2 linked regions of the Canis lupus familiaris genome follow. Each later gene encodes a partner of the first gene's protein in a complex. Links are inferred from orthologs where the notes say so. Each region holds a gene or a part of one and is shown on either strand. Other genes may lie near its edges.

The links.
Region 2: the proteins of MCM2 (region 1) and DNAJC9 are in contact, whole or in part, in a crystal structure (PDB 7CJ0), measured with the Homo sapiens proteins. The link is inferred for Canis lupus familiaris from reciprocal best matches to the Homo sapiens genes MCM2 and DNAJC9. Residues at the interface, in NP_004517.2 of Homo sapiens: Glu65, Glu66, Glu67, Asp68, Glu104; in NP_056005.1 of Homo sapiens: Lys185, Arg189, Arg192, Lys244.

The regions. Positions count from the first base shown.
Region 1 is NC_049241.1:1,717,864-1,724,155, forward strand, and holds part of MCM2 (DNA replication licensing factor MCM2), read left to right. Parts: coding exon 1-160; intron 161-445; coding exon 446-653; intron 654-2,280; coding exon 2,281-2,415; intron 2,416-2,699; coding exon 2,700-2,891; intron 2,892-6,292. UniProt on the Homo sapiens protein: Acts as a component of the MCM2-7 complex (MCM complex) which is the replicative helicase essential for 'once per cell cycle' DNA replication initiation and elongation in eukaryotic cells.
Region 2 is NC_049225.1:24,557,898-24,564,833, forward strand, and holds the start of DNAJC9 (dnaJ homolog subfamily C member 9), read right to left. Parts: upstream 3,710-6,936; 5' UTR 1,821-3,709; coding exon 1,641-1,820; exon of another isoform or gene 1,506-1,640; coding exon 1,365-1,505; exon of another isoform or gene 1,153-1,364; intron 572-1,152; coding exon 317-571; intron 1-316. Other genes in the region: MRPS16 (28S ribosomal protein S16, mitochondrial), read right to left, coding at 4,163-4,296, 4,773-5,033, 5,462-5,666; CFAP70 (cilia- and flagella-associated protein 70), read right to left, coding at 6,916-6,936.

The sequences.
Region 1 (6,292 bases):
CCTACTTCCTGCCAGAGGCACCAGCAGAGCTGCTGCAGATCTTTGATGAGGCTGCCCTGGAGGTTGTGCTGGCCATGTACCCAAAATACGACCGCATCGCCAGCCACATCCATGTGCGCATCTCCCACCTGCCTCTGGTAGAGGAGCTGCGCTCCCTGAGGTAAGCCAAGGGCAGGGTGAGCCTGAGGGTCTGGGTTCCCACCACCCTGTGGCTCAGCTTCGTTAGAGGGAGCGGCAACAGGGCCACAGGCCTGGGTGGGCTGGCTATGGCCAAGGAGAGTTCTCACTCCTGGCACTCTGGCTTGTACTGGTTGTAATGATGTGGATCTGATGGCTCCAGACCCCAAATTTTCCAGATCCACTTCACTTATAGCCCCAATCTCTGAATGGCATGGATCAATCATATGGCCCTCCAGGCCACTGATATGCCCTCTCGTGTCTGCAGGCAGCTGCACCTGAACCAGCTAATCCGCACCAGCGGGGTGGTGACCAGCTGCACAGGCGTCCTGCCCCAGCTCAGCATGGTCAAGTACAACTGCAACAAGTGTAGCTTCGTGCTGGGGCCCTTCTGTCAGTCCCAGAACCAGGAGGTGAAGCCAGGCTCCTGTCCTGAGTGTCAGTCAGCTGGCCCCTTTGAAGTCAACATGGAGGAGGTGAGAGGCTGCACCCGTTGTTGGCTGCCCTTCCTGTCTACACAGGGCCTGCCCCACCTCTAAGCAGTTAGATTAGCAGGGCAGCTGTGGGAAAACAGCATAGACTTGTGTATTCGCCACACCCTGAGGCAAATCAGATCTATCTGGCTGGCCTGTTTAGTTTGGCCTGTGGGGCATTTTTCAAGAACTTATGCCAATATTTTAAAACTAGATCATTTTGTTTAAAATGTCAAAATTGATGTGTTGTTTTTTTTTTTTTTAAGTTGGGGGTGTAGATCTGGCAAAACTGGGCTCACTTGTCAGGCTGCCCCCATAGTAAGGCACCTGTTTCCCCATCCCTTACTCAGGGGCTTTCCCTTGACATTTCTGGTACCAACCTCTCTGGGCCTCTAACTGGGGGCCTCTAGCTTATAACTAGCTTAGACATCGCGGTGCCATATTCAGGAGGCCCTGCTGAAAGCTGCTGGGACATTTGTCTTTGTATTCGAATGACTGCATCTCTACAGTTGGGGTCATCCCTGTACTGGTGGGGGACGCCCAGACTCCCTTTATGGCCTTGCTGCGATTATCTGCTGCTGACCTCTCAGCACTCTGCGCCTGAGAAGTGCTCTGGCTGAGACCACTTTATCAGAAAACCCCTGAGGGTTTATGATTGTGGCAGCCCAGAGCCAATAGCAGACCTGATGTAAAGTCGAGGTGCACCTTGCTTGGGTCGGGTGAACTGCAAGGCCACATGTCAGCCGAGCCCACACCTTTGCCCAGAGTCCCCTGCCTGCTTAGCTCATCCTCCTTAAGAGTCTACTTTCCTAGAAGCTTCTTGAGAAGTCTAAACAGGAACAGGGTTTCAGGCCCTGCTTCTACATGAGTAATAATTACTTCTGAGGTTTCTGGAGTATTTTGCAAGGTGCCAGTAGGGGATGATGTATAATTCAGTTTTCATTATACATTTTGAGGCAGGTGGTATTACCGATCTCAAGGTCACACAGCTAGGAGGAGGCCCAAAGGTTAGAACTCTGGCATTTTAACCCAGAGTGTCTGCTTTTAACGGCTGTGTTATGTGGCCTCTTTTCTAGACATGAAATGAAATAATGGACATTAAATTGCACAGCAAAATGTTGACATGTGACATTTGGCAGCAGAGCCCACACTTAGTGGAGCTCACTGTTTGTTGGGCATTGATTTCAGTGCTTTTGACATAGGACATGGTTTAATCCTTACCCTGAGGGTTTACTTTGAGCGTTACCATCCCCATTCCGCAGAGAAGGCCTAGAGAGGGAACATGGTTGCCTAAGATCACACAGCTCAAGACACGGAGCTAGGATTTGAACCTAGGCAGCCTGGCTGTGGCGTCTGTATGCAGCAGGGCTTGGCTCCACAGCATATAGCAGGTGCTTGACTGGCAGGAGGCATCCACGGGGTAGTGGCAGCAGTGGAGACTGTCCACTGATGCATTGGTCCCAATAGGCTTGTTCCCTATCTTCTCTAGAATGGCTCTCCATTTTCTAGTCAGTTGATGGAAATAAGAATCCTGTCTGTTCTCCTTCCTCATGGGGCCATGGCCAGGATCAGGTGACATAAGTCAGTGCTTGAAGGAGTCCAAAGTTGACCTTCTGCTTTTCCCACATAGACCATCTACCAGAACTACCAGCGCATCCGAATTCAGGAAAGTCCTGGCAAAGTGGCGGCTGGCCGTTTGCCTCGCTCCAAGGATGCTATCCTCCTCGCTGATCTGGTGGACAGCTGCAAGCCAGGAGATGAGATAGTAAGTGGCCCAGAAGCAGGCCCAGAGGGAGCCGAGTTGCTAAGGAAATCAGCATCGGCATCTATGGTGCAGAGAGGGTTGCTGGCAGTGGGAAGAAGAGTCTTTCCCTCCTTGTAAAGGACTGGCCGGTGGAATGTTTTGGATTAATCTTCTGGTTTACTCTTTTTGCTGTCTGGTATAGAGGAGTTGAAGAGGAGAATCAGACAATGGAGGCAGTGGGGAGGAGGACCTCACCCCTGAGTCTAACCCCGGGCTGGGCCTCTGGATTGTTTCTCCTCTCCCAGGAGCTGACTGGCATCTACCACAACAACTATGATGGCTCCCTCAACACGGCCAACGGCTTCCCTGTCTTTGCCACTGTCATCTTAGCCAACCACGTAGCCAAGAAGGACAATAAGGTCGCTGTGGGGGAACTGACAGACGAAGACGTGAAGATGATAACCAGTCTCTCCAAGGACCAGCAAATTGGGGAGAAGGCAGGTGGAAGTCTGGGTGGGATTGTCGTGCTCCCAGAGGAGCACCCAGAACCATGGTTCTGATTCCCAGGTCCTGGGGTCTACCCTTCTTCATTCTTTCCCTTCCCAGTGTTGGCTTGGTAAACTTGCCTTGAGGGAGAGGGGGCGGTGCACTCTGAGGAGGAGCTTGAGTGCTGGTGTCCAGACTGGCTTCTCGGTGGGACAGGGCTGTGGTGAGGAGTCAGTGGATCGAGTCAAGCCCAGGCTCAAAGCTGAAACAGGTGGACAGTAGGAATAACTCCTCTTACAAAGAAATCAGACTCCTACCAACTCTTGTTTCTCTAGGAAGAACACCATCCCCAAGTTGGTTTTAGGTTTATGAGGTCTTTTTGTTTTAATTGTAGACATTTTTGCTGAAGGTGGGGGAGCTAGGGATTTATGAGCCAGACCCTCAATTCAGGTGAATCAGTGAATCAGCGCAGGTTCCATTTGGCTGGTTTAGCAAACGGGATCCTTCCCTAGAGGGCAGGACCATATGTGACGCACTCACCTCCATCATGTCCACCTCGGCCACCAAGATTTGGGGCTCCACCAGGATAGGTAGGGGTTTTCCCAACCTTGGAGAATGAGAGCTTCATTCTGCCAGCAAGCTCAGACCTTGAATGCTTGTAGGGCCGTGTTCTAGGATCTTGGGAAGTCAGACACAATTCTTCCCTTCCTGGAGCTCATAGTTAATCAGGGTCCCCGATGATAAGAAAGAAACAGGACCTTTTCACAGAATCAGAAACCGAGGAAGACAGCCACAACCCACGATTCTTTGTTTCCTGCTTTTTGCAGAGGAAAATTAGTACTAATACAATGGTCCTGTTTTCAGATTCTTCGCAAGTATTTGAGGCAGTTTCCGCACCTGGCTTGCATCAGCTGTGAGCACGCACTGAAGGAGCAGTGTGCTTCTAGAACACTTTGCCACTGCCCTCTTCCCTCTGCTTCAGTTCTCAGCCACTGCTCTCCCACTCTCTTGGGGAGACAGGAACAGCAGCAGATAGAGCATAGAAGACAGGACGTGCTGGACTTGAACAAGGCTTGGGACAGGGCAGTCCCTGTGTATGCCTTGTGCCCCAGACTTCCAGAACTGCTCCTCGGTGCCCTAACATAGAAGGCTCTGGCCACACTGCTGGACCTCGATAGCTGTTACCCTGTCTGCCTTTTTGTCTGCATAGCTGATCTTGCCAGGCAGACACGTCCTAGCATGGTACTGGCTGCTCAAGTTCAGTTAAACCTATACACTTACACAGTGACCTCCACAGGGTTGCAGAGGGTGCCTTCTAAACAGGTCCTTGAGAAGGATCTAGAGGGGCCCCTCCTATAGATGATGACATCTCTGCGGGACACCTTTCTGAACACTGTCAGGGAGGGAGGGCTGCATGATCACCAGGGAGGGTTGGTCTGTACTGACCCCTTTGTCCACTGTTAGCATGGATATTTTTACCAAGAACTTGGACAAAGAAACCATACTTGGCAGTTTTGGGGACAAACTGAAAGGATGACAGGCAAGATCCAAAAATGATGGGGTTCATTTGAATTATTTAAGCCAGAGGTTTGCAAATCAGTGGCCTATGGGCCACTTGCATCCTGCTGACGGGTTTGGTTGGTAGGTGGTTCTCTATTTCCCTTTCTTTTTTTATTGCATTTAGTTTTGAATTAGTTATCATCCTTTAGGAATTAAGAGATTGCACCTAAAAATCTGGAAGCCTCAGTTTGTGACCATCCAAGCACCCGTCAGTGCTAGGTCTTTGTTTTTCTCCAGCAACTACTCTTGGGAGAGCCAAGGGGCAGCTGTCCTTTCAGATGGGGACAGCTCCCTGCTATCTGTCCCAGCCACCCACTGCTCCACCCTCTAACCTGATGAGCTCAGCTTACTTGCCTATGGGACATTTGATTTTGTGGTGCCTGATCACAGAAATAGTCAAGGGGTAGATGCCATGCCTGAAACTTAGATTTTTAAAAATTTTTATTTATTTGTTTTTTTAAAGATCTTATTTATTCATGAGAGAGGCAGAGATATAGGCAGAGGGAGAAGCAGGCTCCCTGTGGGGATCCTGACACAGGACTCGAACCCAGGACCCCAGGATCATGACCTGAGCCAAAGGCAGACACTCAACCACTGAGCTGCCCAGTGGTTGTCAGGCACCCCTGACAGATTTTAAACAACTAATGGGAGAATGAGTCTGGAGCCAGACTCCTTAGGTTTGGACTTTGGCGTAATCCTTGTGTGATCAGATGAGCATCTGGCCTCTATACGGTGAGATGGGTAAGATGGGTGAGATGTGGTGGGTAGCACCCAGTAGAGTTGTTTGAAGGTTACATAGAGGTGCACATGTGAATGCTGTGCTATTGCATGCTCAGTACAAAAGTGAAATTGTTCCTACAAAAACTGGATGGGTGTGCCCCCCCCAGACAGTGTATGTGGACTGGAGGAGGATAAAAATAGCCCTTGGGCACTTTCTTGTGCTCACAGTAGCTGTGTAGGTGGGAACTTGGCCTCACTCTATGCTGGGCTGTTCTGAGCAGGGGGATGGGGCGGTGTGTATTGAGAATTAAGAGCATGAGCTTCAGATTCAGAGGAATCTGGGGTCAGGTCCCGCCTCTCTTATTTAGGAACAGTTTGACCAGAGCCTTGGTTTGTTTCCTCCTTAGTGATATGGAGGAACTAGGATCATTATGAGGGTTAAGTGGACTACTTCATGGGAAGCAGGTCATTCCTTGGCAGGTCTGGGTTTGATTTTACCTTTTTTGTTTTTATTATTTTTTTAAGATTTTATTTGTGACAGAGAGTTATACCTGAGTTGGGCGGGGAAGGAGAGGGAGAAACAGCCTCTCCACTGAGCAGGGAGCCCAACTTGGGGCCGTTCCCAGGACCCCAGGGACACGACCTGAGACCTGAGCCAAAGGCAGACACTTAACCAGCTGAGCCACCCAGGCGCCCCTCATTTTACCTTTATTACCAGCAGTACGTTTGCCAGTTACTTTCTCAGACCAGCTGGGTCAGTAACAGGGCAGCATAGGCTTTAGCATGGTTGCTCCCTTGTCCTCCAGTCTACAGGGAGGCCCATCTGGATACAGCGGGTGCTTTGCAGAAGGGGAGCGGAGTCTGGGCAGCTGGTGTGTAACAGTCAGGGAAGAAGCCTGCTACTCTCAGTCCTGGAGGAAGACATTACCTCATCTTTGCAGGGGTGCCTGCTACAGGAACGGCCCTGAGAAAAGTTGGGTAAAGAGAGGTCAGGGACGGCAGCCTTGCCACACCCACAAGATGTACAGGAGGATGAGACATCCATGGCGGATTGGCTCTCCTGACATTCCCAGCACAGGTGAGGGTGCAGTTGCAGTGGAAGAGCCATACATACTGAACACTAAGCATCGTC
Region 2 (6,936 bases), on another chromosome or scaffold:
ACTCCATTACTTTATTTTTTGAGCAATGCCATGAAAAAGCTAAAAGAACTAGCCCATATGAAGAATATTTCAGTGCTATCTTAAGATGATATTAAACAATCCACATAGCAAAATCTTCTTGAGCACAACATACTAGGGAAAAAAGTTGCTCTTGATGAACTGGTATGCTCATTTTATTAAGAAAAGAGCTATATAACTATAGAGTTAATCCTTACTCTCGTCTCAATAAACTTAAATATATTTCTATTATTGTAAATACCTTCATATTATTTTTAAAAGCAATCAAGATATAAATTAACAGCATTCAAAATCTTACCCTCCTTTTCCTTGCATTCATCTTTTGTTTTGATTCTTTGACAAAGGCATTATAGGAGGGGATCTCGCCAGCATCAATGGCTTCCTGAATAATATTCCTTATCCTGGGTTCTTCTGTGTACTGCACGCACAGCACAGACTCCATGATCTGATCCATGTCACCCTTGAAATCCAAATAGGCCTGTTTAATATCTGCCAGCTCTTCTTCAGAGCCTTTGTAGGTCTTTTCAAAAGCCTGAATGTCTTCTAAAGATATCTGGACAAACAAGAGATATATACTTTAACTGTGAGAATTTTATTTTATTGAGAATTTTATTTAAAAAAAAATATACTAGTAAAACTAGATTTAGGTATTGAGATGTTTCTTCCCAAGTACAACAGTGGCTTGAATTGAATTTGTTGCAAGGAACCACGCTTTTTTTTTTTTTTGGAACCACGCTTTCTATGCCAAAGTTTTTCCAGAATTCTCCCCCCAATCTTCACAACTACTAAACTACAGACCAGGAAAATTTACGTGAAGTTTCCCAGAACTCAGGACTTACAGGTAGAGATATGTAAAATGGAGCACTATCTTTTTTTTTGGTAAAGATGTTATGTATTTATTCATGAGAGAGAGAGAGAGAGAGAGGGAGAGAGAGAGGCAGAGAGAGAAGCAGGCTCCATGCAAGGAGCCAGATTGGGACTCGATCCTGGGACTCAAGGATCTCGCCCTGGGCTGAAGGCAGATGCTCAACCGTTGAGCCACCCAGGCGACCCTGGAGCATTATCTTAGAAAATAAAAAACCCTCACCTTTTTCACTACACTTGCTCTACATCAGCAGGAAATTAAATACTCATTTCAGTAAATGTATGTGTGATTTATGCTGTTTCAAATGTGTTATCTCCTGGGAAATACTTGCCCGTGTGTGTATACATATTTATCTGTATTTGAAAATGAAACAAATTCCTCATTCCTACACAACACAAAATGCAATACCTTAAAGCGTTTCAATATATCGTTTGTTTAATGAATGACTGGAATAATCAAAGAAACCTCCAGACTCCTCTACCTTTTTAAAAAGTAACCTCCAATAGGCCTCCCAGTCCCGATCTTGGTTAAGCACATCAGAATCTTCGTCCACTGTTCCCTGCTCATCGTACAGCGCTCTCTGCTCTTTGTCGCTCAAAACAGAATAGACTTTCCCGAGGATCTGCGAGGAAAGAGCATCCAAAAGTCACCCTTGCATCCTTCACTGCAACCGCGCTGCGAGAAATAAAGATTAGAAAACACCAGGCCAGGAGATCGAGAGAAATCCAGGCAGCCAGCGGAGCCGGGGCTCGCGTACCTGGAAGCGGCGGGTGGCGTCCTCTTTGTCGTCGTCGCCGACCCGGTCCGGGTGCACCTGCAGGGACACTTTGTGGTAGCCCCGTCGGACCTCACCGTCCGAGGCCTCGCGCCGCACGCCCAACACTCGGTACAGGTCGGCGGTGCCAAACACTTCCTCGCACAGCTCCAGCAACCCCATGGCCGGCAGCCAGGGAGGGCGCCGCAACCTCCGCGACACTGGGTACAGCTTCAGACTGCCTCCTTTTCCCGCGCAAAAAAAAACCCGGGAGTGACTGCGTCACAAGAGGCGCCGGAAGGGCGTGGCCACGACGTCGCACTTTACGGCAGCTGCAAGTGGGGGCGTGGCCAGAACTTAACCGAAGGTCGGAGCGGCGGGCGGGACCTCGCGTGTTGGGTAGCGGAGCGGGAGTCGGGGCCGCTGCACCCTCCTCCCCTTAAGAAATCTGGCGATTATCTTCTCCCCGGTGTCCCAGTGCAGCAGCTCATTCAATAGATGGCATGTCCATATTACGTCTGAACCATACATTGCCTTTTGCCTTTTTTTAAGTAAAAAAGTTCATAACACCGACATTTGAAGACCTGACATGGTTCAATGTTGTTCTTTTTCAATGATCCTGACAAGAGTACACAAACTCTAAGACCTACAGGTTGGGACTGCTGGGTAAGTACTCTTCCCTAATTCCTGCAAGAAAAAAGCCTAAACTAAAAGCACAAAATACTAGTCTTTTAAAAATTGTAACATTACAGAATCATTCCCATTCACCTTCCAGTTCCTTATCACCTTCCACTTTGGTTAAGAAAACATGACCAAACCCTCATCTGAGTAAAAATAAAGCTGCTGAAAAAAAAAAAGAAAGAAAAAAAAGAAAGCTGCTGAAGCAAAGGCTTTTTTTTTTTTTTTTTTAATGCTTTCTAAAGTGCAGAGCTGGGTTTGAGCATGTTGGATTTGAAACAAGTAAGCTGATGTAATCAACTAAGATGGTGAGAAACTGTGCCAGGTGATGCAAAGCAAGCATAGAGCTAGAGAAAATTGGAAATCAGGGACAGGATGAGCTCATACAGGGAGTATGTCTATACACATCACAGGGGACAGACAGACCAGGGCACAAAGTGAATACCTGAGTTGGTGGAAACTCAGTAGTCCAAAATACCTTAACCCATTTCCCAGCAGTTCCCATTACTGGTCAGTGTTTTTCATGATCATTCTCTGCTCTAGCAACTAGTTTATCCAAAGATCTTAAACTCTCCAGAGTACATTATTTTTAACTTCCAGAGTGCCCATAGTTTTCATAGCATTCTTCTTTCCCAGATCCAAGATCAAATCCAAGTAGTCAGCTGTTCTTGCCCTGCCTTTGAAGTCCCCTCAATGCAAGGGAGGCCAACCAGTGACAACCTTGGGAGAGACTTGACTCATTATGGTTGGTAACTGTTCTCAGTATATAAAACCCAGAGAATAAAATAAGTTGGTACATTGATAGGGCTTTAGTATCTCCTCTATAAATTTTCTACATCCTAGTCTTATGCCAGAATTTGAAATCTGTATTATCTATAGTGTGCACAAAACCCCTGTAATCCATGCTTGTGATTGTCCTGCAATTCTGGTGAAGCAGATGTGACATTTTGGGCTTGGGCCACAGCCAGTCATGTATGTTACCAAACTCACGACACCTAAACCTCATATCACTGGCTTTTTAAGTGGACTTTTGAAAAGCCCCTCATCTTTACTCATCTCACACCAATCCTGTCCCCGACCATATAATATGTTGGAAAGGGCTCTCCAGGTATGCGTATTGGGGTCTGAATCTTAGCTCTGCCCAAATCAAAATAGATGGCGTTGGGCATGTTTCCACCCCTGAACCTCAATCTCCCATCAATACAAAGGGAGACCATCTTTCCCACTTTCATGATACCTTATAATCCTCACAAATAATCTTAGTTGTAAAGGGTCAAAAATGTATGTAGGTATTGTTCATTATTACCTTTCTTCTAGTTTCTCATTCTTAAGTATGCTATCATAGCTTATAAGCTCATAAAAAATCTACCCTTGTAAATCTGAGATTGAGTCAAACAAGAAAATGTAAATCTACAATTTCACATACACAAAATATTAATAAGCAAAGTAACTATATTCTTGAGCTAGTGGGATGACCAAAAATGATTAAGGAAGAAATTGCAAGGATGGATCATGGACAGGCTGGCTGGAGCTTTCAAACGGGGAAGTCTTAGAAAGCAGCAGATTGTAAAGTTGTCCAAGAGTTCTAAGGCCCAGCCCAACTCCAGCACACCCCAGAGCCACTGTCTCTTCCAGATGAAGGCTGAAAAAGCTAATTAGTACCTAGACCAGCTCTATGTCAGAAAGAACAAATCTCTCCCTGAGTCGTGCTCAAGCCAGGCCAGAAGAGCATGCGTGACTCAGAAAACTCCCATTTATTGACCTCCAAATCTAATAAAACTAAGAGCTCTGCACAGGTGTTTTAAGATGGCTTTGACCTTTCTCCCAATGTTCTCTGCTCACTGAAGTCAGCTGGTTTTTGTTTCTGTAGCCTCTGTATCTGTTTTCTGAGATGCTAAGACGACTTCACGTGCCCGTTTCCTTCGCAGCCTCTCAGCATTTGTGATCATCATGGGATGCAGAGGGAAAAAGCCAGAAAGACCTAAAAGCAACAGGATTTTCATTCATTATAACATGGTATAACCAGGGTTTCCCTGGGAGCTTAGCCTTACAGAGCCGAGGTCTAACAGAGACCTGACCTACAGCATGGATTTAAAACCTGCTCCTCTCTTGCCAAACTGTCTTATCTCTTCCCCCCAGTCCTTCCCCTCCATTTACTACAAGGAGACAATGGATGTTACTTCCTATTGTCCTGATTTGAAAAAAAAAAAAAAAAAAAAGACAGATATTCATTCAAGAAAAGCTATTACTATTTTCAACACAAAATCCCATTCATCGAAAAGTCTCCTAAAAGAGCCCACAAAAGAGGTCTCCAGTCAAAATGACAATTAGATCACAACTCGGGTTTTCACTCTAGCCCTGAGCAGCCTGAGGTAACGAAAGTCACTCTTAACTCTTATTCCGAAACGGACTTCAATTTAAAATCCCCTCAATGAAGCAAATCTAGAGCTGAGTTACCCAGAAGCCTCTCCACAGGCTTAGAGAGGTGGGCCCCACAGCCAATCCAATGCCGGATCCGCTCTAGGTTGAGAGCAACGATTTTCTCCCCGTGACTGTTGGGCAGTGGATCATAGGAGCCCAGCTGCTCCACGAAACGGCCATCCCGGGGGCACTTGTTGTGAGCAGCCACAATGCGGTAGAAAGGCCGGTTGGTACAGCCGCTCAGGGCAAGGCGGATGGTTAAGTGGCCCCCGTGGTAGGCCTTGCGCAGGACAGGAGCTGCAGAGAGAGAAGTCGTTAGGACACAAGCACCGAGTACATAAGAGGAACAAAATGAGGCAGATAAAACAAGCCCCTTCCTCGACTGAAGCATCCATCCTTACATCCACCCATTATTGTCGACCCGGCTTGGCTACTACATTTTCGTGAAGCTCCTCCCATGCACTGCAGCCAGAGCGACCGCCTGAAGCCGCTCCACACCAGCCCGCCTGTAACAGAGACCACGGCGGCGCCTCAGCTGCCTCACCTATCAACTGAAAGCCACTTACAGACTTTCGGGAAGGATTCAGTGAGAAAAACCTAAGGCGACGGACAGACATAAGGCAGTGCGGCCGCTGCAGGTTCGGGTTGCCTCCAGCTCGCCTAGGAGAGCGGCTTCATCGGCTCCCCTGCTCCCGGCCCCCGCGACCGCCCGGAAGGTCACTCACTGAGCTGGACCATGGTGCAGCCGGCGGGCGCCGACTCCCGTGCGCCCCTTGCCGCGCCTCCGAGCGCGCTGCCGCCCGTCGGGCGGGGCGGAGGACCAACGCGGAGACGGCCACACCGCGACACCCCGAGCCTAGAGCCTCGCAGCGGGAAGCGCAGGACCCACTTGCCCCGCCCCTTCCGCTCTCCCGCCCCTATATTTCCCATAATGCAACGCTGTGAACCCTAACGAACCTAAACTGCCGCAAAAAAGTCGCGCTGTAACCTGCGTGTCGCTGGGGTGGAAGCGTGAGCAAACCTGTGTGGGCGCAGTCGGCCTTCGCTGGACTGTGGTTTCCTGGCGGAGCGAGCGGTATCGGGAGGATCCTGGGGAGCGGCCCGAAGGGCTAAAGTGCTCCACAAATCCATCCTCCAGCGCACGTGTTTCGCGCACCTGGCTAGAGCCATAGCTCCGAACGCCAGGCTGAGGGGGCGCGGTTCCCGCCGGATGGAAGCCCCCGGTCACGTGGGGAGGCGCTGCGATGACACCAGAGGCCGTAAGGGTGGTCAGTACTCAGTCCTGGGGCAGGAGGCGGGGAGGCAGCCTGAAGCCTCCTTGGTGCTTCCGGAAGGCCTCTAAAAGGAAGCGGCGTTAGAGCCACGTCCGTTACGAGGACTGTAAATGAATGGAAGGTTTATTTTATTCTTCTGTGTTTATTAAAATGCCTCTCACCTGGTCTCCCAGGTCTCCGTCATATTATCTGCACCGTCTTTAAAAAATTAAGGAAGAGGAGTCTTTATTTCTGGTTTTGCTATGCAGTCATCCAGGGGGATAGTTCCTTTGTCATTAGCCCTAGAACACTGGCCTCATTTGAGGTTTGCATCTATTATAAGTTAATGGACTCTTCTTGGAGCCCTTGTGATTTAGATCCGCGAAGGTAACCGTGGTGAGAGGTAGTCCGTACCTCCATCCTCAACAAAGACTTCTGTCCAGCTCTTTTCACCATTGGGTCCAGAGTTTGGCCACCACTAATGTGTTTTAATACAGTGACCCAGCATAGCACTCTCCTTTGGAACCACCTTAGAAATCCAAGAAGTGAACCTAGCAAGAGACCTTAGTAGTTGACTTACAGGAGTGATCCTGATAGGCTTTTACCAGAAACCCTAATAATGAACCCACTTTACCTTAATTATGTAAATAAATACATTCTTACATATAGCTCAGTAGACCTTAATTAACTGCAGAACCACACTGGTGAATTTTGAATCTTTTTTATTGTCATCCAGTTAGTGTCAACCTGTAAAATATCCAGTAACAGCCATTCAATAAGACAGCCAACGGAAGTAAATGAATGGGTTTCTGCTTACAGTATTCTCCATCCCCAAGCCTTATTTTTCACGACGTCCAGAGTTTAATTTCTGTGGGAAGGAAAGGAGCTCCGAGTCCCATACAGAACATTCTTCAGCTGGAAGGAGGTCAGAAAGATGGATTTCCAAA